Arabidopsis thaliana: one gene and its partners. The protein of the gene in region 2 interacts with the protein of the main gene of each other region in a pairwise test. Each region holds a gene or a part of one and is shown on either strand. Other genes may lie near its edges.

Region 1 (7,164 bases), 2.0 Mb from region 2:
TAACTGAGAAATGAGAATTAAAGATTCATAATTTGAACACAAGAAATCCTAAACTGGTACGAAAGAAAAATTGCTCAACAAAAAAATCAAGCTAATTACTCGTATACAAAGACACGAAGAACTAATACAAGAAACAAGAAACAACAAACCACAAAGAGATTGAACCAATCCAAATTCGACAACATAAACCAAGTGTGTGGGTGATTGGAATCAGAGGACGTACCAAAGAAAAGCGTCCGTGATCAACAAAAACCAAAAAGAGACGTTTGAAATAAACCAGAGGAAGACGAAGAATAATTAAGCAAAGAGAAGCGTTAAGCGGGAGCGAGAAAGGAAACGAGAGAAAGAGAGAGCTTCCAGATCCGACAGAAGTTTTCGGCTTCTTCTTTTTCGTTTAAGAACTTCTGATCCTCCTAGGTCTGTCCGAAGAACTAATCTTTTTGAGGTAACGACGCCGTTTTTCTCAAAACATGGGCCCATTAACCATAGTCTCGGCCCAAACGAAACTTAATACGACAATGTTTGGGTGTAAACGCAAAGATTTTGTCGATTATCACAAGTAAAAAAATAAATACAAACACTTGAGTCTCTCTAGACATCGTGCGTCGCCTTAGCTTTAAGTTTTTTCTCGAAACAAAAGAGTTATTTTATTTGAACTTTGAAGATTATACGAAGACACGTGGCGTGAACCCAATTCATAACAACGCCACGCTATACTCTTTTGCATGCACCTCAATTTGAACATCATCAAGTCTCTCTCTCTCTTTTTCTGACTTTGATCCACGAACCTAACCAGCTTGCGATCTCTATTTAATCGGTCCTCGACGCAACTTCAACTTCTACTACATCCATTCACATCAAATCAATACAGAAAGTTTTTTCTATATATAAATATAAAAGGTAAAATGCCAGGGATCACACTAGGAGACACGGTGCCGAACCTAGAAGTGGAGACGACACATGACAAGTTCAAACTTCATGACTACTTCGCCAATTCTTGGACCGTCCTCTTCTCTCATCCCGGTATATATGTTAATATATAGATCTTGAGTTCTTGACTTCTGTTGCAATTCCTTTTTTGTTTTCTTGATTTTTGTTGACGGTCACACAGGGGATTTCACACCCGTGTGCACCACGGAGCTTGGTGCGATGGCCAAATACGCTCATGAGTTCGATAAGAGAGGCGTGAAGCTCCTTGGTCTGTCTTGTGACGATGTACAGTCACACAAAGACTGGATCAAAGATATTGAAGCCTTTAATGTATAATTTAAATCTCATGCATGCATATACCAGACTAGCTAGAGATCATATTTTGGTTTTGATTAATTTGTTACATATGTATGATATAGCACGGAAGCAAGGTGAATTACCCGATAATCGCTGACCCGAACAAAGAGATCATTCCTCAGCTTAACATGATTGATCCAATTGAGAACGGACCGTCTCGTGCCCTTCATATTGTTGGTCCTGACAGTAAGGTAATAATTTCATATATTATTGCATGTATGATTTTATTGGTTAATTGGATTTGTGATATATAGATAAAATTGAGCTTCTTGTATCCGTCGACCACGGGACGTAACATGGACGAAGTATTGAGGGCTTTAGACTCGTTGTTGATGGCGTCCAAGCACAATAACAAGATCGCCACTCCGGTTAACTGGAAGCCAGATCAACCGGTTGTGATTTCGCCTGCTGTGTCGGACGAGGAAGCCAAAAAGATGTTCCCACAGGGTTTCAAGACCGCCGATCTTCCGTCAAAGAAAGGCTATCTGCGTCACACAGAGGTCTCTTGAAAAGATAATAACAAAAGCCTACTATATAACGTACATGCAAGTATTGTATGATATTAATGTTTTTACGTACGTGTAAACAAAAATAATTACGTTTGTAACGTATGGTGATGATGTGGTGCACTAGGTGTAGGCCTTGTATTAATAAAAAGAAGTTTGTTCTATATAGAGTGGTTTAGTACGACGATTTATTTACTAGTCGGATTGGAATAGAGAACCGAATTCTTCAATCCTTGCTTTTGATCAAGAATTGAAACCGAATCAAATGTAAAAGTTGATATATTTGAAAAACGTATTGAGCTTATGAAAATGCTAATACTCTCATCTGTATGGAAAAGTGACTTTAAAACCGAACTTAAAAGTGACAAAAGGGGAATATCGCATCAAACCGAATGAAACCGATATGAAACCGCATCAAACCGATATAGCGTGAACCAAAATGTGGATTAATGACATTTAGACCGGAGGAACATAAGTGGGGACTATACGGCATCGTTTTAGTGTATAAGTGAATTCGCATATTCACGAGTTCCCCGTATTCACCGGTTGTTATATCGTCGATTCATCGTCGTCGACGGCGAGTACTTGTGACCTCCACACCCAGATTAATCTTCTATAACTGATTTTATCGCTTAGACGATCACGATCTCATCGATTAACTGTGAGTATAATCGATTCCTCCTCTTTATTTTGTGTGTTGTATCGATTTACGATAATTTTTTGGAGGAACATCTCCTTTCGGATCGGTTTTGTTGGGAATTTATATTTCTTTGCCATGGTTTTATCTTGATTTGGTGATTTACCTTGTGTTTGTTCTGGTGTACTATTTAGCTAATTTAGTATAAGCTTTCAGATGATTCTAGGAAACTTTTGTGCTACTGTTTTCGGTTTTTGGTGATAGAACTATGTAGTTTTAAGGAACCATATAAAAATTTCGTCTAGAAATGTTTCTATGGTTACTGATCAGTCATCAGTGGTAGCGATATGAAATTGGAATCCTGTTTTTTGTTACACGGTTCGATTCAGATGCTTTCGATTCAAATCCTGTTTAAGCAGCTCAGGTTCTTTAGAATTCTTGTTTTTTAAATGCTTCTTGCCTGAATGTAAGGGATTTTTTTTGCTATTGCTTTGGTTCCTGTGATTGTTTTTCTTACCTCCTCTGATGTTACATGATCAGCATTTGTGAATTTGGATTCTTGGAAGCTAACACAATTCTTAGGATTAAGTTTCGTATGGTCTGAGACTTTGAGTTCTTGACGTTTGGTCTGAGGAACTGTTGGAACTCATTGATTTTGTATCGGTTCTGTAGCTTCAGTTCGGACTTGATCATCTCAGGAATTGGAAATTGTTTTTTTTTGATGTTACAATATTTCGGAGTCAGATAATTTTCAATTTCTTATTTTGTTTATCCCAGTCAGAGGTCATTGTCGAAAAAGTACGGATTGATCTGGATATAGCATGATGGTTTGAGTTGTATAAACTGGGTTACTGAGCTGTTCAGATTGTGCTAGATTCTAGTTTTACTTTGATGTTTGGAAATTATGTGCGCGTCTTTGTGTTAGTGAACATTACACACTGAAACATGAAAATCCATTTGCTTTGTTGAGACTCCATCTAGTTACAACTGATAGCTATTATTGGTATATTTCTTATGGTTTGAGCTTGTGATCAATTTTGGTGGGGTAAATGGGATGTTAATATTGCTCTTGAGGAATATATGTGTTGATCATGACAACTACGAAATTGTGAATAGTTCATTGATTTACTAGATTTTGTTTATTAGGCTCGCTGAGTGATTTCTTTTACATGCTCTACAACTTCTTGGAGAATGCTGTGATCGTCTATGCATTTCTATTCGCAGCTAACTTAAACTCTTTTACATAATTTTTTACTTTAAAGGACAAATGAAGCATATAGTAAAGATCTTGAGCCTGTTGGTGGCTATCTCTGCCTTCTGGATTGGTCTTTTGCAGGCTGCAATTATTCCTCGAAGCCATACATGGTTGGTGAGTAACAAACAATTTTGTCCTCTTTTTTGGTTTCTTGCTTTTTTGAAATTAGGATTCTGTTCTGATTTGGTATTATTGCCGGTCTGTCTTACAGCTACCGATCTACTTTGTTGTATCCCTCGGATGCTATGGCCTATTAATGGTTGGAGTCGGGCTCATGCAGTTTCCTACTTGCCCCCAAGAAGCAGTTCTGCTGCAGAAGGTACTTTTGAGACTAGCTCTTTGTTTGCCATAGTCGGCCTTGTTCTTATTTTTCATCCTGCTCTATACGGATTCGTGTTATCTAATGTTGACATCCTTCAATATTTTTGCTAATTTAGTGTCTTTTATCTGTTTCTTTGGTTGCAGGATATTGCAGAGGCTAAGGACTTCTTCAAGCACAAAGGGGTAGATGTTGGATCGAATTGACACAAAGGCTTTTATCAGACCATTCATCAGAGATATTTTTCGTTATTGACAAAAGACTTAACTGTACTGTTTGGAATTTTTGAATTTAACAGTGTCACTGAGGTAAAACGCAAAAGCTTCGTATGCATCCAAAAGTAATCGCAAAAGTATAACAAATATTCCAAATTGCAGAAACTTATTAGTAACAATAGAAGCATTTACATTTTCTTGTGGTGAATTACCATAAAGCTTTGGCCTTTGTGTCTAGTAAGTTCTCCAGGTATGCAAAAGAGATCGCATCAACAGATTGAATCAGGCTATCCTCTGTACGAAAACTCTGATATGCAACACACCAAGAAGGTATTAAGTCGCTCATAACTGAGTAGGTTTCAAAAGATACAAATGAAACATTTGGAACCAAACCAGTTTTTAAAAGATACTAAGCAGGAAAATCAAAAGACACTGAACCAAAAAGATCATAAAGATATGACTTTGATATTCAACTTGCATTTGCCTTCTCCTTTCTTTATCTGTCCACAACAACACCTAATTCAAACCAGCTGCTTTTCTGTGTGTTTATGGCTCTCCTTTCGTTCAACCATGCCACAGTTCTTTATGCCTTAAGAATACGCTCCTCTATCGACAATGCTAGCACATTCAGCTCTTGAAATCTCTTATCAGTCTTGTCATTGTTATCAACATCACCTTCACCAAAATCATTGTTTCCCTTTTCAGAGTACTGCTCATTGGATTTCATAGTTTCTTCACTTCTGATGCTATCATCATGAAGCAAACAACAATCCTGTCCCTCATTTCCATCCCCTACAGCGATGTGAATGTTTGACTCATCAGATGACTTCAGAACCTTATGCTTATATGCTTTTCTTGTTTCATCTCCATTCGTGCATCCAGAAGCAAACTTTTTATGAGGGCTAGATTTTTTTTGTTGTTGTCTGCCTTTAATGCTAGCACCTTCTCATGCATTGATCCTTCCATCAGCATCTTCCTTCTCTGCTTCATTACATCAAACACTTTGGTTCGAGCTTGAGCTCTCCTCTGCTGACCCTTCAACAACTTTGTTGGAGCTTTTTTTTTGTGTTTGATCTTTTCTTCTTACTGTTTATGGTTGTTTGTCTGATATTGTTGTTGTTGTTTTGGTTAAGGAGGATGTGGGTGCTTGTGTTGTATTACTCTCCAAGTACGATCCTGTTTTTCTTCTTCTTTTCTCTTCTCTCATGCATAATCTGATTCTGAATTTATAGTGTTTGTGTTGATATTTGATGATAACAGTTGTGATTAGATGCAATAATCTTGATGATCTTAATGAAAATGTTTGTTTGGTAAAAATTAAAAAAATTAAGTTTGACCGAGTCACATGATAATACCGACATTAGTATTATCTAATCTCTATATATTTGTGCTTTGCCTCTACTCTCTTTTCACTCTCTCTTTTTCTCTCGATTCCATTATCTCTCTCTGTAAGACACAAAACAAACCCTAATAATGCAGTCGTCGAACGTAACTGATTGCACAATGAGGAAAAGAGGAACAAAAAGAAAGATTGAAATTGAGAAACGCATGACTAAACAACAACGATCCGTCGCTTGCAGCAAACGCCGTCCCACACTCTTCTCCAAAGCGGCTGATCTTTGCCTTCTCTCCGGAGCCAACATAGCCGTTTTTGTAACTTCTCCTGACGAGAACTCCGATGTCGTTTATTCATTCTCGGGCTACTCTCATGCCTCTGAAATTGTTGACTGTTACCTCAACAACAAGTCTCCTCCCAAGACTACTATTAACCCTGAATCAGCCAAGTTTTGGTGGGAAGAGCCCGATCTTTACCGTGATTGTGACGATCTGTCTGAGTTAAGAATCATCGAAGATCGTTTGATGAGAACGAAGAAGCATCTCATGGATTATCTTGAGAAGAAAGAAAAATCACACTCTGTTTCTAAATCCGATCAAAACCCTAACAACGACAGTGGGTCTTCTTCTTCGTCTTCTCAAATTGCTTCTGATTTTGGTCAAAACCCTAGTACCTTGTCTCCGTCTTCCTTAAAAATTGTTTCTTTTGATCAGAACTCTTACTCCTCACTTGAGCCTTCGTCACAAGTTACTACTTGTTTTGATCAAAACCCTGTTTTCTCTGTTGGCAGCGAGTCATCATCTGATCAATCTCGTTACTTGGTGAATGAAGATTCTGGATTTGTTGACGGCCTCTTATGTGAAACAGAGGAAGAGAATAACGGAATGCGTCTTCCCCAAGAAACACAAACACAACCGATGTTCACAGAGGAGGATCAGAGCTTTTGGGAAAACCTAGATGTCGACGACGTGTTTGGTCTTTTTAAGGACGACAACAATCTTGAGGTTCCTCTTCAAGATCATTCCTCAACCAACGAAGACGACGAGTTATTGATCGACATAAGTGAATACTTAAGCGAAGAAGCAATGGAATGCCCATGTTTTAGTTAGTTCTCACAGCTTGATTAAGCACGATCTCATAGTTAATTACGGTTTTAGTTAGTTCATTAGGTAATTACCATTTATGTTGTTGTGTGTAACGATCTATAGATATCTGTTTTATCTCAACTCTTTTGATTCTGTAATTTCGATTTTGGTTATGGCTGTGGTTAGTGAGACTAATTGTGGTGAATTACAATATCTTTATGTTCCCTTTTTAGGCATTCTTTCTTGTCTAATGTCAATGGATGATGCCAAAAAGAAGAAGTAGAATGGTGAAAACAAAGTAGCTTAGGGTTGAAAGAGACGATGTTCTATTTGAAACATTGTTACACCTGCAAACACCTTTGTGTTCTTCTCAGAAAGTTAAAGAGATTAAAAGCCATAAAATCTGATGAGAGAGAGGGAGGGCTTGGCTTGTTTTATCTCTTCTTCTTGCCACCTTTGCCTGACTTTGAAGAAGTTCCAGAGGTTGAAGTTGTGGCCTGAGGTTCCTGCTTCTTCGCTTTCTG
Region 2 (7,433 bases):
ACCATAACCGAGAACCGACTTAACTAATCCGGAAACTTGGTTATTACACTGAATTCCATACAGGGCCAAATGATGTTCCTTATACAGGAAAGCCGATAAAGATATGGGATTCGGGAGAATATGTAAAACATGAGAATTGAAGGAGGGCTCTGTTAGAAATATATGGGTTTATCTGTAATTTGTAATCGTATAGGAGATATATGTAAATAAACAAACATATAAAAAGAAAAAAAAAATGGTGAAAAACAAGAAAAAAACAAAAAGATTTGGTGAAACTTGATGGCGTAACGAGACACAACATAACATAATAGTAAGTGTCCACATGCATAAATCCAGATGTTCCTCCATGTCACTCATCATCGAGCTCATTATATTATTGTTTTCTTCTTCTTTTTTCCTTAAAATGTTAGAAATAAATTGGTTACAAGATGTTTTAGACGTCTGTCTAATTAATATTTTTAAGCATCGATTAATGTATTTATTATTTTTCAGTTTTTTTTAAAAAACATCATTTAATTATAAGAAAAAAAAAAATCAAATCCCGTATCAAAATTAATTTCAAATTGAATTATCATAGGGGGATTTTTGATAAGGTTTTTCCGAAACATTCGATTAGCGTATAGCGGAATTTTGAACATCGGATAAATACAAGATGGCGTTTTGGAATATATTCTATTTAAATTTAAATTTGTTTTTGTCAAGTGTAAATATTTATGACGTAAGAAATGAGAATGCAAATGGATATAGTTTTGTTGGTGTATGTAAAAGAGATAGCTGGATCGCATAGTTAGATATATGAAAGAATCTGAGAAGAAGATTTGTTCCGTTGAAATTCCTATAAACGAAGAGACAAATCTCATTCCTCGTGTGATCGAAAGTAATAATATAGCTTTTGGCACTCACAGGAATCGATTCGAAATCTGTTGGTACTACTTCCAAAACTTTATTTTCACAAGCATACACAAAGATGCTCTAGTATTGTTGAAGATTACTACTCTAGCAATGTTGTGGATAGTGGACCAAAAGTTAATGGACCAATATTCAGATATTTGGTTTTATTTTTTTGTTTTCTATATTGAAGGTTAATTAATAAGTATGATTATCACGGTTATTCAGGGCCGGTCCAGAGGTCACATAAACCAATCAACGATTAGGGCTCAAAAAATTATAGGTTATTGAAAGTTAAACTTTGTTTTGTTTTTGTTCTGATTTTTTGACTTAAATTTTATGAAACTTTCTCACGTTCTTTTCACTTATAAGCTTATTACATTCAAAAATGATTACAAAAATTATAATTTTGACTTTTGAGTAAGGCCTGCCATAAATTTGTAACCGGTTCTGGGATTATTATTAGCATGAGTAATTCATGTATAATGTATTCGACTCATTTAGAATAAACATTATAAAAAATATAAATATGCACCTAAACTAGAAATCTTTAATAGTTTGATCTAAATGATTATACACGTTGTAGAGAAGTAATATAATATTTACGCATATATAGTTTTAAATACCTTAAAATGTTTTCGAATAAAAATATTAACTAGCCATATAATCCATGCAAATCTTGATGATATATGTCTTGAACAAATTCTATTAACTGGCTAGTTGTATATTATAACCCATGCAAATCTTGATACGTGGCAAAACATAAATTTGACAAAATTGATCACTGAGCTCGACAAATCATATAATTTGGATTCTAAAACCAAAGGCATCTTAAAAAAAAAATCAATGGAGGTGTGTAGCTACGGACAAGGTCCTACGGATAGTTACGTCCGTTTTGTTTGCTAACGTAAAAAGAGCGACGCGGGGGAACGAAGTAAGTAAATGCAGAATATGAATAAAGGAAAGAATCCAACATTTGTAAAAGTTTTAATGCGAACAAATTAGTATCATCCATAATACTCTTATCACTCAGATTGAAAGATTTTTTTTTATATAAAAAAAACTGTTTTTAATATATATTCTTCTTCTCGTGGATCATATACATATGTAAAGTTTCCAGGTCACAATTTGGAATCACCTTTTTTGTTAGATAGTCCAAAACTTGAATATCAACCTTTTACTTGAGATGATTCCAAGAGTACCACTTTTATTTACACTAACAAAAACTTTCAAGTTCCAACATATTATAACATTCCAAGAAGTGAATCATTGTTATCACTTGTTTTTACCCATAGGTTATGTAAGTTACTTATGACACAAATTTTACAATTGCACATATATAAGAGAGATGTGACACATGGACAGTCACAACTCACAAACAGAAAACAAAGGAAACAATTGTAAATCGAAACCGAATTGTTATAATGTTTAATGAATATAGAAATGTGTGATTTAATTTGTTTATTACATCTCAATCTAATTCTGGTTTGAAAATCAACCTAAATAAATCTTTCAGGAACAACCCAAACCGGAAACTCATAGGGACAAAGTTTATTCAGTTATGCAAAAAAAAAAAAAAAGGCAGCTTTTGGCTTTGGAAAAGCTAAGTTGCGTCAGGCAAGGTAAGGCAAGGTAAGGCAAGGCAGAAAGTCAGAGAGAGTACAATGTCGCATGTGAAACCTTTGTGTCTTGTCTCTTTCACTACCCACTAATTCTAGTACTTCAGAAACAATAAGACAACAACACTGTAAAATGTTTAAGGAAAATTACACACTTGAGTAAATCAGTGAACTTATCTGTTTCCTGCTTTGTTGGTTCTTTTTACCTATTCAACTCAAAGATTCAAAGTTACTTTCATTTGTTTCACTGACTATTCACAGAGAGTTAATTATGATGATGCCAGTGGAATCTGTCAGTGATTGCTTCTCCACACAACACACTGTAAAAAAGAAAGGAAGGTAAAAGTGAGAGGCTTTTATTACTTTCATGGTGATAACAAGTAAAAGAAAAACATGCATTAGAACTCACAACAAATCTCTGTCTTAAAATGGTTCCAGATATCTATTGCATCAACACTTTAATTAAAGTAAGTGATCTCATTTGTTCTATTTCCATCTTTCAATCTGTAATTCCTCCACTTCTACATAGAATCTTTATATAAGCAATAGTGATAATAATAAATGTTAACACAAGAAAGAAATCAAAAGGGTTAGATCGTATATAAGCATCTACTCTATTCGTTTGTTTGTCCTGGTCCATACACGTGATAATTATCCATGTCTAAAAAACAATATATATCAAACAAAAAAACAGTGATCAGATCCTAAGTTACGGTAAATGCATTTCCAATAAGAGTCTACCAAAAGAAGACCTCAAGGTTGCAAGCAAACGAATTCAATAGTCACATCAATTTATTAGGAGTACTTTTTGTTTTGTTCCTAAACAACAAAAAGATTGTTATGAGTTTAAGCCTATGTGTAAATTATGGACCTTGATGTACTATTGCACACAGTGGCAGGCCAATAAAGACTTCCTCTTAAAGGCAACCAATGATATCATCATGGTAAAAAAGATCTTAAATTTGAAACAAATTTTCAGATTGAACTTCAAACACTAAACTAGGAAAACTGATCTTTAGTTTTCATATTACTATCAATTATTTCTTGAATCTAAATCAAACAAACTAATGAAAATGTTTTTAATACTTATCTATGTAAATCTCTTTTTCTTTCTTTCCCAAACTTTAATTTTTATTTTTCTGAGCTAGCACATCAACGTAATCATGCACTTATTCCACCAGAGAAACGTACAAGAACACAGTGGTCCATCTCCCGACTTTACTTCACCTTTTAAACCCTTCAATTTCGTCAACAATATCATCAAGTCCCATTCCTCAAACATTGCTTAACCTATTAGAGTTTCCTTCCTCCAACAAACCATCTTTATAAGACTCCAAAATGGAGGGTAAGAGATCACAAGGACAAGGTTACATGAAAAAGAAGTCTTACCTTGTGGAAGAAGATATGGAGACTGATACGGATGAAGAAGAGGAAGTAGGTAGGGATAGAGTTAGAGGGTCTAGAGGTAGCATCAATCGTGGTGGCTCGTTGCGGCTTTGCCAAGTAGATAGATGCACAGCTGATATGAAAGAGGCAAAACTGTATCACCGGAGACACAAAGTGTGTGAAGTTCATGCAAAGGCATCTTCTGTCTTTCTCTCAGGACTTAACCAACGCTTTTGTCAACAATGCAGTAGGTAACGTACAACCTAATTTACCCTTCAAAAAACTTTTTGTCTGGATCTTTGAATGGTTTTTTTGAGTTCTTGAAACAGGTTTCATGACCTCCAAGAGTTTGATGAAGCTAAGAGAAGTTGCAGGAGGCGCTTAGCTGGACACAATGAGCGAAGAAGGAAGAGCTCTGGTGAGAGTACTTATGGAGAAGGATCAGGTCGGAGAGGAATCAATGGTCAGGTGGTGATGCAGAATCAAGAAAGATCAAGGGTAGAGATGACACTTCCTATGCCAAACTCATCATTCAAGCGACCACAGATTAGATAGAGAAGCTGTCTGCTCTCTCTCTTCTGTCATCTAAACTTCTCTCTTAGAATCCTAAAATTGTGGTATCTAACAATGTTATAGAGAAATAAATAACTACCACTCTCTCTAGTACTCTCTAATGTTATCAGCTATATGCAAACGCTAAGACTATACTTGAACCTTGAGTGTTATCTTGTATGTTTCAAAGATATGGCTAATGATATGTGTAATACTTCTACCTAGTCGATGTGTGAATGCTAACTGGTAAACGTTTTGAATACAGATACGAGTAAGGAGTGTGACTTATCCAAAAGCACAGGGAAACTACTAACCAAAAGCCACGGTCACTCTGAAGTTTCAGAGCCACGAAGGAGATATATCATCCTAGCTTTTCCTTGCCAACATAGTAGTAGAATAGAATATTTGAATAAACACCTACCATTATTAGTAAATCGTTGAGAGTAGATTATAGTGGAAGCAAACCTTTCAGGGTCCATCACTTGCTATGATGAGAGACTCCTTAGACGTCATCAATAATTATCTTATTCCCTTGGCATGCATGACCAGTTTGCAACATTACCTGATTTTGAATCAGAAATACATATGACTATACTAAAGTTAGAGATAACAGGATTAATTATTAAACAAGAAAAAATGTGACTTTTGAGATGTTCTCAAACAAATTTGGAGCACAACTGCACAAGTAATTGGAAATGAATGTAATTTGCAACCGACCTAATCATCCTCTGCTATGATCTTTACAACCAATAATCGTAGCAACTTTAAATTCTAACAAGTTTTAACATTTAAGTGAAAGATTTTACATGAATTATCAGATTAACCCCCAACATCTATTACTACTCCAAATTCCTAATAACTACTCTTAGAGAAACATCATGTTAAACCTAAGATCCTATCAAATGAACCGATTCTCATGAACTAAACAACAAAGAGGCAAAGAAAGACGAACTAAATGCGCCGATTCAAGTAGTAACGAGTGGTTTTAGACCTTGACGGATTCTTTCCTGGAGAGATTTCACTAGGTAGAATTTTTAAGGGAATGTTCCATTATAAGGCACTTATAACAAAAGTTTGGACGTTTGGGACACTTTTGAGTGAGTGAGCACTTTTCCACCTTTTTTTATTGATTTTGTGACCAATTTACCCTTTACAAACGTGAGAAGGAAAAAAAACTGTAGATGAGTTAATTTTGTTGCCAATTACTAAAAGCAATATACGTGGCATTAGATGGAGATAACAAGTTAAAAATTAATTGTCAAATCTGTAAAAATTTAGTTTAATCAAATATTGTATCAAATAAAAAAATTTAAGCCTAAGTAATATTATATATTCCCAACAAATATCAGATTTTAAACTATGTTCTTAATTATGCATCCAATATATATTGTCCACGTAAACATATCCAAACAGTTCGCATTATATATAATGCTTTAAATCAAATAAAAATATTTAAGCCTAAGTAGTATTATACATTCCCAACAAATATCATATATTAAACTATATTCCTAATTATGTATCCAATATATATTGTCCACGTAAACATTATATGAAATGCTTGAAATCAAATAAAAATATTTTAGCTTAAGTAGTATTATATATGCCGAACAAATATCAGATATTAAACTATGTTCCTAATTACGTATTAACGTATCCAATATATATTGTCCACATAAACTTATCCAAACAATTCATTTTATATATATCAATACAAGGTCCATCAACAAACTTTTTTTTAGAATATGAGACAATATCGTTGACACAAGCAAATGGTTTGTGGTGTGTAAACCTTATACCCTTAAGGCTCTGCACTAAAGCCTACATTCCTTACCCTAAAATTAAACCCAAACCCTCAATTCCTAATACTTATCCACTAAATCCAAAATCGTAAAACAAAACTCTAAACCATAAAATATATTGTAAGCATAAACAAGAAAGTGATAATTTTACTGAGAGATAAAACAAATTCACAGCAAATCAAAGATAACATGTGTCCATTGATGATCGTCCAACAGGTTTAGTCCATGTGGTCATCTAATGACTCACGGGGTCGTTTCATTTCAATACACAAGTTTATATATGAACGATAATCGCCAGAATCAGATTCGATGGGAAAAAAAACGAAAACTTTTGGAATAATTCAAATCGTAAAAATGTGATCTTTACGAAATTCGACCAATATCAATTGCAGATCTAGATGCTAAACATAAAAAACAATGAAAAAAGGAAACAATTTTTTTTAATCAATTTCTTATATCAAATTGATACCCAGAATTAACTGGAGAACGAATCTAAGATATAAGTAAAGATTTGAAGAAATGTAAGATGGAGCATTGGAGATAATGACATAAATCAAAGACATGAACACATGTGCTTAGTGTGTTAGATGGAGAATTGTAGATAATGACATGAAAATCAATAGGAATCATGTGAGAGAGAGAGAGTACTAACTATGAGAAGGTAGCGGAGGATTCTTTTTCGAGCCAATCGCGGATGTGCTTGATGTTACGCCTTAAGATGGTGACAGATTGCTTCACATCGTTTTTGTAATCCGAAACTTGATTAATGAAGCTATCCCAGAGAGCAAAGATTCATTCTAATTTTGCAGTAAAGAGAGAGAGAGAAAGAGCAAAATCTGAATCTCAGATTTCAACAAAATCCTAGAAATTCAATTATAACAAAATTGAGGAACGAACTGATAAGTTAACTGATGATGGGAAGAGGGGGAGAGAGAGATCAAAATCATGGTAAAAGTTTTTATTTTCTTCGCTTGATTGTGAGAGTAAGAGAGAGAAAAGAGAGGAGAAGGAGAGAGACAAATAAAATGAAACAAAAAAGAAATATATTTAAAGGGTAAATGAGTCAAATAACCTATCGAAAGTGTTTGATCTTTTCAAAGTGTCTTATTAGGAATTAACTTTCCAAAAAGTGCCTAATTACGTAATATTCTCAATTTTGTTAACTGCCTATTTCACAACTCTAATTTTA
Region 3 (7,865 bases), on a different chromosome or scaffold from region 2:
ATCAGATCAAGCTCCCACAAAAAATTATTGCATCTTCCATGAGAGATCCCGACCTATTTCTTAGAGCTACAAAGCTAAGGCTATCCGACTATGAGAGTCTTCCGAATCCTTATCCCTCGCTCAATGAGAAACCATGAATTCAATTGGTTTCTTTATGGAGAAACTAACCATCTCCTTCTCTTATACGAAGAGAACTCTATTTACAAGTTTTCATCCTCAGCTTTTGGCTTCTAAACTGTGTAAGCTACCGATCTTCCTTACCTTTATGATAAACTGTGTAAAACGTCTCATGCAAGCAAGAATCAAAGTCTTGGAATTTTTTTCAACATCACGAAATCAATCAACCGTCACTATCGACTCACCATGGATTTGCTTGTGCCAATTTCCTTTCTAACATTTGTCTCCAAGCGCTTATGAATCACAAGTCGGACTACCTAATCTATTGTTATGTTGCATTAGGGAACACTCTATCTTTTCATGTTATAAACATTGGGATCTTGGAATCATTCCTATCATTGTACTTTGATTTGGTTTGTTTTGATTGAATGAATGAAATCAAGTATTTGCACAAAAAAACTGAAAAACAAAAGTCTATTTCAATAGTTACATTCTAAATTAATTTTTCCTTTTTATGAAAACCAAAATGCTATTTTTATAACCTTTTCCATTTTAGTATATCTATTCTCTAAATTATATATGAATTTTACTAATTTATCACTTTTACTTAATTTGGAAAAATATTTTGTATAGGACTAGCTGGTAAAAAGCTTTTAACATATCAAATGAGTAAAAAGCTCAATCGGAATTTAAGGAGATAGATGGCTTAATATAGATAAGTTATAATGTGGGATATACCTAACTTCTTATATATATGTATGCTTTCTTCGTTCTTTTTTTCTTTTTTTCTTTTTTTCTTTTTTTCTTTTTAAACACAATCAATTTTCAGATTAAAATATATATATATATATATATATATATATAATCATTTATATCAGCTAAGATGAATAAAAACATTATATTCTCGTTTACCGTTCTAACTCTCTTCGTCATTTTTGTGCAAGGTTTGTAATTATTTTATACGTAACATATAGTCTTTTTAAAACAAATAAATACAAATATCATATAATAATTTTGTTTGTTCAATTATGTTATATAAAATTTGTTTCAAAGTTAAAAATTTCACTATCTAACTACATTATATTGACTATTGAGTAAAGCTCTTTGATGAAAACTTTATATAAAACATAAAAATTGAGTAAAACATTTTGTGCTAGACCAAGAAAACCGATACCCAAAACGTATAGTTTAAATTTCTTCACCTATTTTTGGTTAATTTCTTATATTAATGGTCTTATTATATTACGAAAATTTATATTTGCTATACATTTTCTCGACATGTTTTCTTTGCTTCATTTTCATTAACAATAGTTTCTTTTTTGTGCCCTATAGAAAATGTATTAAGCTAGATCTGTTTTGTATAAGAAATATTAATATTTTGTTTTAAAAAGGGTAAATTTATAGAATATTTTGAAAGTACCTCTATATAATTTATTTTTTAGTTAGAGATAAACTATTTGATAATATGTCTAGCTACATTTTTCTGCTTTCATAATATTTACGTTATAGTTTGTTTAAAGTAAAATTATATGACATTTAAAATTTAATTTATATAATTTTTTTAGTAAGAATGTTATGTATTCGTCAAAACTAATGACAATTGAAAAAAATTGTTACTGTAAATATGTTATTAATATTCAGAAAAATCTGTAGCACAACTATGTTTTACTAAACAAAATAAAATTTTTTTTTTCATTACAAGAACTGATAATTTGTTTTATATTTACTAGTAACAGGAGTTATCGGGAATTTACAACAAAGAAGACAAATGAACCAAACATGGTGTTCTAGGCCTCTACTTACCCATAAACAAACAGGGAAATGTGTCATCGAAGATTGTGAATCTAAATGTAGGCAGAAGTGGAAAGGGAATGGTACTCAGGCTACATGTCGTAACCAGTGCAACTGCCATTTTCGTTGTCCATGGATTCAAGGCCAACCATGAAATTTAAGGAATCAATGTTAAATTTCCTTAAAATAAGTCTTTTCAAAAAGTTTCGAAAATTATAGAAATTCATTTCAGTAAAACTCATATCATAGTGACATAGTGATACTATACGTCTAGTACTAATGGTAATCAAATAAAATATTTGTTCCTAGTGAGTAGTGACTGACTTGTACAAGTGTCTTTATTGAATTTTGATATAGTATCCTTTTATCACCTTCATAGAAGAAGAGATCAGATCCGAGCATCTCAATAAAACTCTAGCTCTGTAGAAAAATGATCGATTGGGTTGAAGTTAGAGTTGGATAGGGTGCTGAGGAGATAAAGGAGTCGCATGCAACTTCCTTCTCTTTTCAAGACCCGATTTAACTCTAGCATAAACCCAATTGATCATTATCCTCAGGCGAACGAGTTACGGCAACGACGGTGGCTAGGGTTTCCTCGGACTCTCTCTAAGATTTTGACTAAGGAGAAAATTAAGGAGACTACCTATCTATTTATAAGGATATTAATCGGCTAGGGTTTTCTTTTTGTCTAACGAAATTTTAGGTTTACTCTCTCGTTACGGGCTTATATGGATAATTAAGGGCTTTTCTCCAATGAGTTTTAATGGATTTACATGAGTTTCATATAGAATTGAGACTTTTCTTTTACTTAGCGATTTGGATCCTACAACAATGGCCACTAAATATGTGCCTACCAAGCGACACAAAACATCAAACATAAACCATGTGGCACTTAAGATTTGAGCTTCTAGCGATTCTTGAAGTAAAGCCATATCAGATGGCTGATGTTAGCTTGCACAGTTGCACTTAAGCATAAAACAGACTCAATGCAATGCAATAACTTTGGCATTTCAAGTTTATTCTTGTTCCATAAAGCACAAAATTCTGCATATACTCCGTAAGTTCCGGAAACAATTTGGAAGTCGCACCAACGCTTTGCAGCCTTTCATATTCAAGAGAAGAGTTTTTTGGAATACAAGTAGGATATCAGGACCCTTTAGTGCACTGCCTTCCAACAAGAGCTTTCTTATCTATTTGAAATCACCTAAAATTGTTCATGGTGAGAATTGTCAGAGAATTCAACTTCATCTATGGAAGGACGGAGGGCGAGGAGAGTCCGCGAAGCCTTCAAGATTTTGAGCGCCTACTAATCCTGAAACTGCGAACCGCTCACATGAATGACTAAGATTGAGTTAATCATCAAGATAAAACAAGCCTTTCTTGCTCCTAATTTGACCTACACAAACTTATAAACCAAGCAATCGAGTTTATCATCAATGGAAAGAATTTACACTTTTTATTGCATATTATGTGGATGTTAAGTATCCTACAACTGTTAGTTGATTGCAAAGACAAATGAAACCATGAACCATTGTGGTTATATCTGAATATAAGGTTAAGAATCTAAACTAGTGACAAAGTTATAAACCTTACCATTCTTGTGTAAGAAATCTATTAAAATAAGAAATGTTGGTTGTGTAACACATAATGCCTCTTCTGTATCCAAATCAAAGCCTTCTTACATCATTATTCTTCCTCTTTATCAGCAACTTTAACCTTCTTCTTTACCCCATCTTCAAAACCACCCACCGACTCGTTTCTCCTCTTATATATACTCAAAGGATCACAAAGCAAGCTCTTCTCTTTCTCTACATCACTCTCAATTTCTCTAGAACCACAATTCCTAGCATTGTCTCCCTTACCATCCACACCGTTTTCTTTCGACATAGACAACAAAACACCAGCAAGATTACTATCATCTTCATCCCCAACAACATCACACACATTCTCCTTCTCATCCCAACAAGGAAACTCCCTACACTGAAACCTAAACTTCTTAGGCACATAACCACTACACTTCCATAACTGCCGACTAAAAACCGAAGAAACACATTCAAACAAACCCAAATCACCACCAGGAACTCCTTGTACATGAACCCTTTCTTCAATTGGTATCTCTGAACAAGCCTTCAATACAACACTCTCACTACTCTGCGTACATAAATTCTCCATTCTCAACGATTTAGTAACCGATAACTTGGACAATTCATCTTCATTGTTTTTTATCTTACACTTGTGGCAAACAAACAAATCATCACCTTTAACATAACGAGAACACCATGTATGAACCCAAACACCACATTCATCACAATCAACCATCTCTTTACCATCATCAAAATTCACACCACAAACACAATCTACTGTCCATGATTCATAAACCCAATCTTCGTGTGGCTTCATCTCAAATTTACCCCCAAAAAAAAAACTCTAAATTTCTCTGATTCTTTCACAAATTAACCCAGAAATCTCCCTGAATATCGAAGCTTTGTCAAACCCAATTCGTTTCTTCTGAACGACGATTGTAATGTTACGCGAAATAGCTTTGCGATTCTTGATAGAAAAAAAGCTATCTTGACGTAAATCTATGGTTCTCGCTTCCCATTTCTGAACGAAGAAGACGAAGATAGGAACCATAATTACTAAAATATGGGCCGGTATGGGCCGGGATGGGCCGGGATGGGCCGGGATGGGCCGGGATGGGCCGGGCTTAGAGGATAGGTACTGTTTTTTTTTTGTGGACGGACCAAACGATTTCATTTAAAAACCAAAAGCAGATAAAAAACAGAATGGTCAAGCTCAAAGAGGAATACAAGCGGAAATTAACGGTCAAATAACTAAATCATAATGAAGTTAGCAAAAATATTTGCACGTATAATTTAGCCTAAAGACACGTGTAGAAGATGTGTTCTTCTGAAAACCACTCGTCACGTCGTAGTACCAAAATCTTCTGGGTCGATCATATGAAACCGCTTCAAAAAGATTTCGAAAACCGCTAACTTCGGGGAAGCTATATCACTGACTACACCCAATTTGATGTAGTCTAGGATCAATCTTTCTATGTACCTTGAATAAAAACAGAATGACGAAGATATTACTTCTTGAGCAATTAGGGAAACAAAAAGAATTTGGAAGACATACAGAAAAATCGAAGGAAAGATATTGGAATAGAGATATTGGAAGTTGAAGTTTTGATTTTTAGGTTTTTTTCTTTGATCGTTTTTATGCTAATTTTGTGTTTGTTAAAGCTGAAACTTCAATGAGATGGCTTTGATTTATGATTTTTATTTGGGAATTTTAGTTTGTAGATTTATGTTTTGTATGATCATTGAATCTTTGAATAACCCATGCACTAGTAAGATGTTATATTATAATATATGGATACTAGACTTGAATTGTTCTAATTAGTAGGAAGAGAACTATTGTTGATAAAATAACATGTACAACTAGTGTACCTGTTAGACTATCTACATTAGTTACATGGTTACAATGTCCACTTTTCTCTTTTCAACACTCCACATTATAATTCAATACCTACATAATTTTTACTTACTACAATAGTTTTGTTTAATAAAATTACAACACATTACCCTACCATTATTTTATATTTTTTATTTTAATTATGTTTATGTTTTTTGTGATTAATTAATTACAATTAATATCAAATAAAATTAAAATAAGTAAAAATTAAATATTTTAAAATATGAAGGATAGTTTGGAACAGTTGACGATATAAAGAAATTTGGTGGATAACCATAATTTGTTATATTATGTTGATGGTTAGGAGATTGATGTTGGGTAGTTAAAAAGGTAATTAGAAAAATTTTGGGAGTTAAAATGATATTATTATGATCTATTTCACTAAAAAGACGGATAAAAAATAAACAAGAGTTTATGAAGGATGATAGCAAAAGTTTAATTTAAAAAGATGGGGTTTTTGTGTCCAAATTAATTAAAACAAGTCTTTATTTTTGCTATAAGCCTTCATAAATTGGGGATTGTTAGGAGATTGATTTTGAAACTGATAATTGTTCAGATTTTGGTAGTTAAAAAAGTAGTTAGAAGAAGTTTGACATTCCTTAAATGTAGTGATATTGAAATTTTTTGACATTCCTTTAATGGATCAATGCATTCTGTTCCTATCCTTTCTTATATGGATTGAGACTAAAAATTCTTTGAACTACCACCGCTCAACTTTATCATGATAATTATAAGTCAACTCAAGTATTTATAGATTATCAAAGTCTTAATCCGAACTCGATAGGACCAAACTGAAACCAAACCAGTTATTTTATTTTTACTATATATATATATCATAGCTTATTAAATTTTTTACAATATTATAAGGATATTATAATTAATAATTATAAAGATAAAAGAATGAAAGCGTTTGGCAAGAGCAATGGTAGAATTAGAAAGGAAAAAATAAAAATGGTTGAGAGTAAATAAGGATTCGCCACAAAAAGCACTAAAAATTGTATTTTAATATATGGACAAATATATAAATTTTATAAGTTATATATATTGGAAAACTATTTTGTAAATGTAGAGCGAGTCTTATGCTTTTATTATCTTAGATAATCAACGAGTAATTTAAGGAGTTAGATAGCTTAAAATATACATGTTCTAATGTGGGGTACATCTATATATGTAGGTGAACTTTTTCTTTCCTTTTCATTTCTAAACTCACAATCATTTTTTGAAAAAACAATCAATTGATTTCTATCATCGAAATGAAAAAAACATTCTCATTTACAGTTCTAATTCTTTTTGTCATTCCTCTGCTAGGTTTGTATTTTCATTTATAATCATTTTTATATGTAATTTTTATTTATTTTAAGTTAATTATTTTGAATAAATTCTTTAAAAAATCTGTTCAGCAATATTTATATAATATGTGTCATAATTAATTTTCAATTAAAAATTTCATCATATTGAATTTAGGACTTTTATGGAAATTTCATACTAGAACTAGAAAATTAATACGTAACTATTTAGTGCTAGACCTAGAAAATTGATAGCCAAACAGTTTTTTTTAACAATATTTTCACCTATTTTTCAATTTAATTAGGTAATTTTATGGTGATAATATATTAAGAAGAAGTATTGTGATATAATCTGATTGAACATATACGTTAATATTGTTTTATTGCCTTTTCATCATCCATTCATTTTCTTTTCTTTCCACATAGATAAATGTGCCATGATAATTGTTTTCATAAACATTAAATACATATATCTTATATTTATAAGTAAATTTTTATGACATTTGAACTACCTCAATGTTAAACTTACAATTTTTGCTATTATAAATTTTTTGGAAACGTCTATATTTATAAGACCAAAAAAAAAACTAATATTTCATCTTTAATATATAACAGTAACAGGATTGATGGATAGTATGCCACAAAGACACCCGGTAGAAGGTTGGTGCAAAAGGCCTCTACCTAACCAAAAACCAGGACCATGTAATAACGACCGTTGTTCGGCTAGGTGTAAGGAGCAGAAGCAATTTGAGTTTAAAGGGGGCAAGGCAATGGGTATTTGCTCTAGTGAAAATAGATGTCTTTGCACTTTTCGTTGCCGATAATTTTGATGCATTTATTTATTTTAAAATAATAATCATTTGTTTTTCTCCTTTTCTGACATCCAAAAATCATTTCATATTCCGTATTATATAATATGTCTTATTAAAATCAAACAAATATTTGTCATTTCTATTAGTGTTATTACCAAATTCTTGTATGGATTAGTGTGTTGTAGATGATAAATTTTATTATTGTTATAAAAAAATAGATTACCTAGAGTTGCCAAAAGAAAAAATATTACTTAGGATACTGAAGAAATAAAAGAAAGTTAAAAGAAAATTTCATTCTCAAAACCTTTACGTTTTAAATTGAGGATAAAAGTTACTCAAATAAATTTTTATGAAAAATATAATTAATTTTATGAACGATTAC
Region 4 (8,381 bases), on a different chromosome or scaffold from region 2:
ATCTGATTTTCAACTCTCTCTCTCTCTTTTCTCTTCCGTTCGAATTTTGGTTTGTCAAATTCGATGTCGTGATTTGATTGCAGGAAGAAAGTAGACAACTCGAATCGTCGATTGATCGGCTGCTGAACGAAGAGAAACAGATGAGGCTCGCAGAAAATGTCGCCGGAACTAGAAAAGCAGCTACCGAGATTCTTAAGCTTTGTTTCGAAGCTAAGGATTGGAAACTTCTCAACGAACAGATTTTGAATCTCTCGAAGAAACGTGGTCAGCTTAAGCAGGTCACACTACTTTCTATCGATTTAGCTTTTGAAACCTGCTTGTGGTAGTTTAAGGTTTTCGATTACTTGGAACGGTTTCTACTGAGTTCTGAATCTTACTGAGAAATTGAATGAAGAACTGAGTGAGATATTGAAAGTGGTTAGGTCTCTTGATTTGCAGGCTGTACAATCCATGGTGCAACAAGCAATGCAGTATATTGATCAGACACTAGACATAGAAACTCGGATTGAGCTTATTAAGACTCTAAACAATGTAGCTGCTGGAAAGGTGCGGATTAGAGTTGGCTATTGTTGTTGTTGTTGTAGTTATATTTGCTTGAATCTTGATCACTCCGTGCAAGTTTTTTTCTTGATGAATATGTGTGTGTGAGCATGTGTAGATATATGTCGAAATCGAGAGAGCTCGTTTGACCAAGATGCTTGCTAAGATTAAGGAAGAACAAGGTTTGATTGCTGAAGCTGCGGATCTCATGCAAGAAGTTGCTGTAAGCTTTTCTTCCTCTACTTTCCAACTTTCGTGGAAATCGTTTTTTATTTATTTTATAGTTTATCAATGTGCATTGATTGTGATTATGAATTATAGGTGGAGACATTTGGTGCTATGGCAAAAACTGAGAAAATTGCTTTCATTCTTGAACAAGTAAGACTTTCTGTTATCTTTTCATATTTCTTAAGCTTTGTGCTTTGTGCTTTGTTCTTGTTTGTATGTTGTGATTCTAATTATTGGTGTGTAAACTTCTGAAGGTCCGCTTGTGTTTGGATCAAAAAGATTTTGTCCGTGCACAAATTTTATCTAGGAAGATCAACCCAAGAGTGTTTGATGCAGATACCACGAAGGAGAAAAAGAAGCCTAAGGAAGGTGAAAACATGGTAGAGGAGGCTCCGGCTGATATACCTACATTGTTGGTGCTAAAACGGATTTACTATGAGCTAATGATTCGGTAAGTCCTTGATTTGGTTTAATACATTCTTCGCCAGTTATTGGTGTCAAAATATTTGAATATTATTCTCCTCTGAATTTTGATTTCCCTTTACTTCTGTGATCTTTATAGTAAAAATATAATGTGCTGATTCTGTTGTGTAGGTATTATTCTCACAACAATGAGTACATTGAGATATGCCGTAGCTACAAGGCGATATATGATATCCCTTCTGTAAAGGAAAACCCAGAACAATGGATTCCAGTAAGTCTCGTATTGTTGTTTGGATGATCTTGTGGTAGTCTACGTTCTGTAATTAGCTTGGATTAACTTTTCTCCCTTGATCCTCTAAATATAGGTCCTGAGAAAGATTTGCTGGTTTTTGGCCTTGGCACCACATGATCCAATGCAATCGAGCCTACTCAATGCAACCTTGGAAGATAAAAAGTTATCAGAGATTCCTGATTTCAAGTAATTCTCTTTATCTTGATAAAAATTTGGGTTTTCACTACTCTTCCCCTCGTTCCCATCTGAAACAGATTCTCAATCCCTATGTTTATATTCTGTTGCAGGATGCTTCTAAAACAGATTGTTACAATGGAGGTGATTCAGTGGACATCTCTCTGGAATAAATACAAGGACGAGTTTGAGAATGAGAAAAACATGATTGGAGGCTCTTTGGGTGACAAAGCTGGTGAAGATCTCAAACTAAGAATAATCGAACACGTAAAGACTCTTTGAGCTCTAATCTATCTTTACCTCTTTGATTGCATCAATTGTTACTGAAGAGTCTTAACTTTACAAATTCTTCACATCTTCTGCAGAATATTCTCGTTGTCTCAAAGTACTACTCAAGGATTACCTTTAAGAGACTTGCAGAACTTTTATGCCTAACCACTGAGGTAAATATAGTTTCAAAATACTCTTAAGTGTACCAGTACATGTTTAAATCTCTTCTTACCGTTTCATTATATTTCAGGAAGCAGAGAAGCATCTATCTGAAATGGTTGTGTCCAAAGCCTTGATAGCAAAAATCGACAGACCATCAGGAATAATCTGCTTCCAGATTGTTAAAGACAGCAACGAAATCCTCAACTCGTGGGCAACAAACTTGGAGAAGCTTTTGGATCTTGTTGAAAAGAGTTGTCACCAAATTCACAAAGAAACAATGGTTCATAAAGTTGCACTAAGAGCTTGAGAACCCGGTCTAGCCACACACATCGGTGGAAAGAATCTTTCAGGCTCTCGTTCTAACATAATCATTTGAGTTTTCTTTCTCTGCTTGGTTCGAACACATTTTTTTTGTGTTCTTTAGGAGACCTTGCAAGATTATATACAAAACTCTCTTTTTTTTCCTTTCTCCATGTGGTCTTTTTAATGTTTGTTACAATGAAACGAAATTATAATGCAAAAATATAATAAATTAAGAAAAAAAGCATGAGAGGATGAAAGCAGAACAATACAAACAACCTAAACCCTATAATATTTGGAAAAATAACTCTATAACATATAATCATTTTCCTGTTTTCTATTACTCTATAGTGAAACAAATAAAATGAAGCAAGTCATCAGGAGGATGGACTATTATTGTAGTTATTACTAGTCTTGTCTGATGGCCATTGTATATCCTGGAGATAACCGGTTTCGCTAGCTGATTCTGGTGGCGGCTGAACAGCAGCCGGGGAAAACAGAGGACGAGAATGAGATGATGATGACGACGTAGATTGCATCATTGAACCTCCAGTGTGACCGAAACGCAACGGAAACGACATTTGATCGTATAAATCCAAAGATTGTTGATGATGTTGCTGAAACTGTTGTTGTTGACGAGCCATTTCAGAGTAACTCAAGTTGTATGATTGCATCAACGGCTGCGAATGAACGCTTTGATTCGAAGCAGGTCTTATGGGCAAAAGGGTAGTCGTTGAACCCGAGTTCCTTGACTGGGTCGGTCTTTGAGCAGCGGTTTGGTGCACAGGTTGTGCTTCGGTTGAAGCAGGTCTAACGAGTTTGACGTTTTCAGGGAAGTTGAGTTTGGCTTTGTTGCCTCTAAACCGAAGTGCAGCTTCGTCGTAAGCTCTTGCTGCTGATTCAGCATTGTCGAACGTACCGAGCCAAACTCTAGCTGCTTTAAATGGATCTCGAATCTCAGCCGCCCACTTTCCCCATGGTCTTTGTCTAACTCCTCTGTATCTTCGCCGAGGTTGGTCCCCACTAAACGACGACGTTTCGCTACTAGCAGTTGCCGTAGTTGTATACTCGTATGTTGGGCCCGGACCTGACATGTTACTCGAAGCTTCTCTCACTGCAAATAAACAAACAAACATGTAAAATTTCACACTTTTGTTGTCACTCGTGAATTAACACTTTCTTACATAAGAAAAAGAATCGATAATATTAATGTCTCCAATAAAGATATTATAAAGTTTTTTTTTTAAGAGCGAGTATGAGAAAGTGATGAGGCAAATGGGTGACAAAAGGAATGAACAAGTAGAAAAAAAAAGGAAGTGGAAAACGACTCTTGATGCAATTGGAGGGAGATAAATTCTTTTGGCATATCATCATCATCATCATCATTTTCTTAATTAAATATCCAACCTTTTTACAACAATTCTAAAGTATATGTCTTAAGATAATCAAGTACAGTTTCGTTATTATATTTATTTTTGTCAACACTTCGAAATATTTATTTACATCTTTACGCTAATTACTATTTTTTATTCCTCATTTTTCTTTATATTTAAATTATTATAAAGTATATCTAACTTCGCCATATTTTAGAAAACGATAAAAGAAAAGAATAAAAAAACTAAATATAAGACATGTTGCTTTGTAGATTGCGTGAGGACAACAAAAGTGCAACTGTATTTAGATTTTGTGTTACAAACATTTGATGTGACTCATACCTTGATGTATATACTACATCATAAAATTATTGAAAACATTTATCAAATAGAATGATCTTATAATTTAAATGTTTTATGTTTTGTGGATACACAACCGAAATATGTAAAATTTTATCAAAATGGTGTGTACTAATGTGGTTTAAATCCGAAACAGGGTACGTGTGTTTATAGAGGACAAAATAAAAACCCAACAAAACTAACCTTTAGAAGTAGAGCTACCACCGGAGAAATATTGATCAACCGTCAAAGTATTAGCTGCCTTAACCGCTTTGGCGCCACCTTCCTCCACCTCTCTCCTCCTTTTCTGCCCCGAGGAAGAAGACGAATTCGAAGTCCCTTCTCCGCTACCTTCACCGCCTCCTTGTTGATGCTGAGGAACATTTCCAGCAACAACGTGAGTCAAAGCAGAGACAATAGCAGACATCTCCATCTCTCTACTGAAACCTGAGATAAGAGATGAGGACGACGACGATGGAGGCGGCTGCTGCGTAGGGAAGCTATGACGGTGGTGGTCGTCTTCGGCTGCGAATAAGTAAAGCCATTGATCGATTTCAGATAACGTCCGATGATCATCGTCTCTAATAGACTCGGCTTTTTTGCCAACGTTATCTTCCTGATTTGCCACTTTTAAGACACACATACAAAACCCTCCTTCTAAATCCTCCTCCTCTGAAACTTAAAGCTTATAAACGCAGAGAAAATTAAATTTAAAAATATTCTTTTTCTTCGAGGGAAAGAAAACTCTGTAGAGAGAGAGAGAGAGAAACAAGAAACAGAGACAAAGAGGAAGAAAGAAAGACAGAGATTTTAGAAGATGTGTTTTTTAAGACAAAGGACGAGGTTTAGCTGATAGATATACAAATTTAATTTTCTTGTGTTAATTACTTTGTATGGTTTCAGCGCCGCCAAATGAAAATGAGTCGGCTTCTCTCTGTACCCGTGTGAACTGGAAACACGCAGTTTTTTTTTTAATAACTAATGTTTATATATATATATATATATATATAATATAGCAAATAGCTATTTTTATAAATTTGATCTATAACAGAAGAAAATTTGGTTTTGATGATTTAACTCAATTTGAACAAATTTTGTAAAAAATTGGGTCCTATTATATGAAACGTATCTGAATCTTTTCGCAACTTGTGAGTAATTATATATTTTTGTAAATATACTATATGCGACCTATACTCTATGAACAGTTCTGAAGAATACTTTAACAAGTCTAGTAAATTAAATAAATAAGGTAATGAATTAATTATGTATATTAGCTCTGTGTCATAAGACAACTTGCATAGTAAAAACTTTAAGAAGTTATAAACACTGTTAAAATATGGAGGCATTCAGAAACGATTATTAATTACTATATTTACGGTTCGGTGCTGAAAAAGAGGTAAAACCATTAAATGGAATATTTATAAAATAAGATTATTTTTGCATTTTGTCTAAACGGTGAGCTTGAAGGTCAAGTTGAGAGACGAGCCGTTCCGTACGAATGCGCGTGTGTTGCACGTGTCGGTTCTGGTCGACGTCAGATGCTCCGTTTGTGGACGGTGTCGGTGATGGTAAGGCTAATGCTCGTGACCGTTTGGGCCTCACCCTACGGCCCACTTGTTTCAACCTTCGTCTCTTATCTTTGACCGTTTGACCCACACCTTGTATTATTTTCTTCGTTTTCGATTTTTCAGAAGAAAATAATAGAAACGCATTGTTCAGAAGAAAATAGAAAAAAAATAGAAACGCATTGTTCAGAAGAAAATATGATTTTAGGATTTGTGATGTGTTTTTCTTTTAACTATAAGAGTTGTTTTCTTATTCGCCCGAATCGAGTCTAATAGAGGCTGCACAAAAACTTTTTGGTTAAGAAAAACATATTGTTGTCCATATTTGCAATTAAGCTCAGGATGGTTCAGATTTCAGAACTTGCAGATATGTACTCGTAGATTCTAGTCTGAACGCAGAATAATTATTATATTGATATCTTTTGGATTTTCTATTATTTTTTGGTTGAGAGTTAACTTGAGGATAATCTCGAAACGCATCGTTGGACTTTTGTTTTTAACCAATCTAAGCAATTGTGCTCACAAGTTGACGTAGTTGTTATTTTTACCTGTTATACACGAGACATTTTCGTATTGTTAAAAAGTCGCAGATTTAACGAAGCTAATAATACATAATTTGCAAAGATGGGAGAAAAAAAAACGATTGTTATTGATGTGACATTTTTCTTAGGCTGATGCTCAAGTCTCTATTAACTAATTAATTAGTCAGTGCGACAGTTTATTTTCTTAAAGAAGCTGAACAAAAATATTGTACGACAGTATAATTAATCTGGATAAACCACGACAAAAAAAAAAAAAAAACTGGATAAACCTTTTCACCGGTCATTTCCCTTTTTAGAAACTAAGATGCCCTGTTTTATACTAATCCAGTTTAATTATATTCCACTAAAACATACAGTAGCTTTTAATCACTTAGGCGATAAAAATACCTAAATATGTCTATCAAATAAAAATTAGTAGTAAAATAAAACAAATTTAGAGATCGAGTCTTCAAAGATCAATCCAAATACGGAAACATAGTGATTATTAAATAAATTTATGTTTTCACCATGCTTGTGTGTGCCTATCGCCTAACCTAATCCCTATTTAAGTTCGCATCAACGCGTCAATTAAGCATTCAATTCGGATTAGTTACGTATTATTATACGAATATGCATCCAACTTGTAAATATTAAACTTGTTTAACATGGCAAAACCGGAGAACGAGGCGTGATCAGTTTAATTTAAGTTAAGGCGTACGATAATGTCTTTTTCATCAACTTGTCCTTTTTCAAGAAAAGAAATAAGAAGAATTTCTTATCAAACTAGGTACCCAAAACTGATATCACAAGTGCGATGTGTAATAATGAAGAATCTATGTACAAAAGGTACCAAAAATCGTATCCATTTAAAATGAAAAAAAGAAGTAAATTCACATAAATTGTGACTTTTAAAGTATTTTAATGATTTAGAGTAGTTGTGTTTTTAATCATGTACTTATGTTTTATATGAGATTATGAGTTAATGGAATAAATTCTGGAAACTGTGGCCACTTGTATATATAAATATCTCAACGATTGACAATTTCGTATCGCCACTTGATAGTTGTCTATCGAAATGATGTACGACAAAACAATTAGAAATATTGATATAAATAAAATTAGTAATGCGTTACTTATTAATTAATATCTCGTTAATTATCAGAGCTTATCTGTACGGATAAGTAAATGATATAATTAACACAGCTTTAATCACCCGCTTAGTCGCAAATAACACGTGATGACGCAAACACATTTAAGAAATGGTTACTTCCGTTGAAAAGGTGGTGTCGACATGAAATCGGATTCTACTATGTTCTTTTCTTCTTTTTAGTGCTAGCTACTATATATGAACTAAGCCGAAACGAATACAGTACTAATATAAAACATTATGTATCTACCTACGGTGTAAAGAGAAACGACATAAGCGTTGCATCTTTGATTATTCTATCTATATTATAAACTTTATGTTGATTACTCGATTCATTGTATCTACCACGGTGTTTTATATTTTTGATATATGACCGAAAAAGAACACCGATTTGGATTCTTATTGTTAGGATCTCACATTAGTTGTATAGAGAGACCAACACTAAAATATATTATAGTATGGGTCATAATTTATTATCAATTAATTTTAGTTGAAAATCAGAGCTTCGTTTGTTAACCGGAATAGAATGGTCTAAAAAAGCTTTATTATCGGTTTTAATGTGGAATTCGATTTGAGATAGACTGAGAAGAACCATCATCTCAAAAAAGTGAAGCAAACCATTCATTATCGATTGGTTTTGAGTGGGAAACCAATAAACTTTAATACTTATTATTAGACAACATTTTAAATGTTATATTTAACAAATTAAAACCTGATCATTGATGGTAAGAAACCACTTGTATATACATGCAAAGGCTCAGTCTTATTAAGCCTTCACAGAAGCACCGAAAAATCAAAGTCTACTATGTAGTTCTATAACTCGTGGTATATATACGACATATAATTATGCTCTTTTAAATCAATGAATTATGTTGACATTCTAAGTTCTAACCATATATATACGGCATTATGAACTTGTATTTTTTAACGTAAAACTAGGATATTCAAACAACGTGTAGTACTGTAGTATTAAGCCAGATATATTTTCAATTTAGAAGACCGCATGCATATCTAAAAGAAAACCCAAGGTTTTTGAAAGTTATCATT

The links.
Region 1: the proteins of SPL4 (region 2) and AT1G48150 interact in a two-hybrid assay, tested with the Arabidopsis thaliana proteins (one large-scale study listed by BioGRID).
Region 3: the proteins of SPL4 (region 2) and AT4G10600 interact in a two-hybrid assay, tested with the Arabidopsis thaliana proteins (one large-scale study listed by BioGRID).
Region 4: the proteins of SPL4 (region 2) and ABR1 interact in a two-hybrid assay, tested with the Arabidopsis thaliana proteins (one large-scale study listed by BioGRID).

What each region holds. Positions count from the first base shown.
Region 1 is NC_003070.9:17,779,705-17,786,868, forward strand, and holds AT1G48150 (MADS-box transcription factor family protein), read left to right. Parts: upstream 1-5,692; coding exon 5,693-6,664; downstream 6,665-7,164. Other genes in the region: PER1 (1-cysteine peroxiredoxin 1), read left to right, coding at 906-1,023, 1,112-1,260, 1,350-1,478, 1,542-1,796; DPMS3 (dolichol-phosphate mannosyltransferase-like protein), read left to right, coding at 3,698-3,799, 3,897-4,004, 4,151-4,210; AT1G48145 (plant mobile domain protein), read right to left, coding at 4,803-5,108, 5,162-5,209; AT1G48160 (signal recognition particle 19 kDa protein, putative / SRP19), read right to left, coding at 7,075-7,164.
Region 2 is NC_003070.9:19,802,633-19,810,065, forward strand, and holds SPL4 (squamosa promoter binding protein-like 4), read left to right. Parts: upstream 1-3,630; 5' UTR 3,631-3,845; coding exon 3,846-4,144; intron 4,145-4,222; coding exon 4,223-4,448; 3' UTR 4,449-4,710; coding exon of another isoform or gene 4,711-4,758; 3' UTR 4,759-5,073; downstream 5,074-7,433. UniProt on the Arabidopsis thaliana protein: Trans-acting factor that binds specifically to the consensus nucleotide sequence 5'-TNCGTACAA-3' of AP1 promoter. Promotes both vegetative phase change and flowering.
Region 3 is NC_003075.7:6,544,340-6,552,204, forward strand, and holds AT4G10600 (RING/FYVE/PHD zinc finger superfamily protein), read right to left. Parts: upstream 4,540-7,865; 5' UTR 4,309-4,539; coding exon 3,595-4,308; 3' UTR 3,502-3,594; exon of another isoform or gene 3,330-3,501; intron 3,227-3,329; 3' UTR 2,896-3,226; downstream 1-2,895. Other genes in the region: LCR2 (low-molecular-weight cysteine-rich 2), read left to right, coding at 1,001-1,061, 1,848-2,062; AT4G10603 (S locus-related glycoprotein 1 (SLR1) binding pollen coat protein family), read left to right, coding at 6,639-6,693, 7,287-7,495.
Region 4 is NC_003076.8:25,888,042-25,896,422, reverse strand, and holds ABR1 (Integrase-type DNA-binding superfamily protein), read right to left. Parts: upstream 4,975-8,381; 5' UTR 4,745-4,974; coding exon 4,306-4,744; intron 3,504-4,305; coding exon 2,767-3,503; 3' UTR 2,535-2,766; downstream 1-2,534. Other genes in the region: RPN5B (regulatory particle non-ATPase subunit 5B), read left to right, coding at 88-278, 439-546, 659-763, 862-918, 1,023-1,219, 1,363-1,462, 1,557-1,669, 1,771-1,924 and 2 more.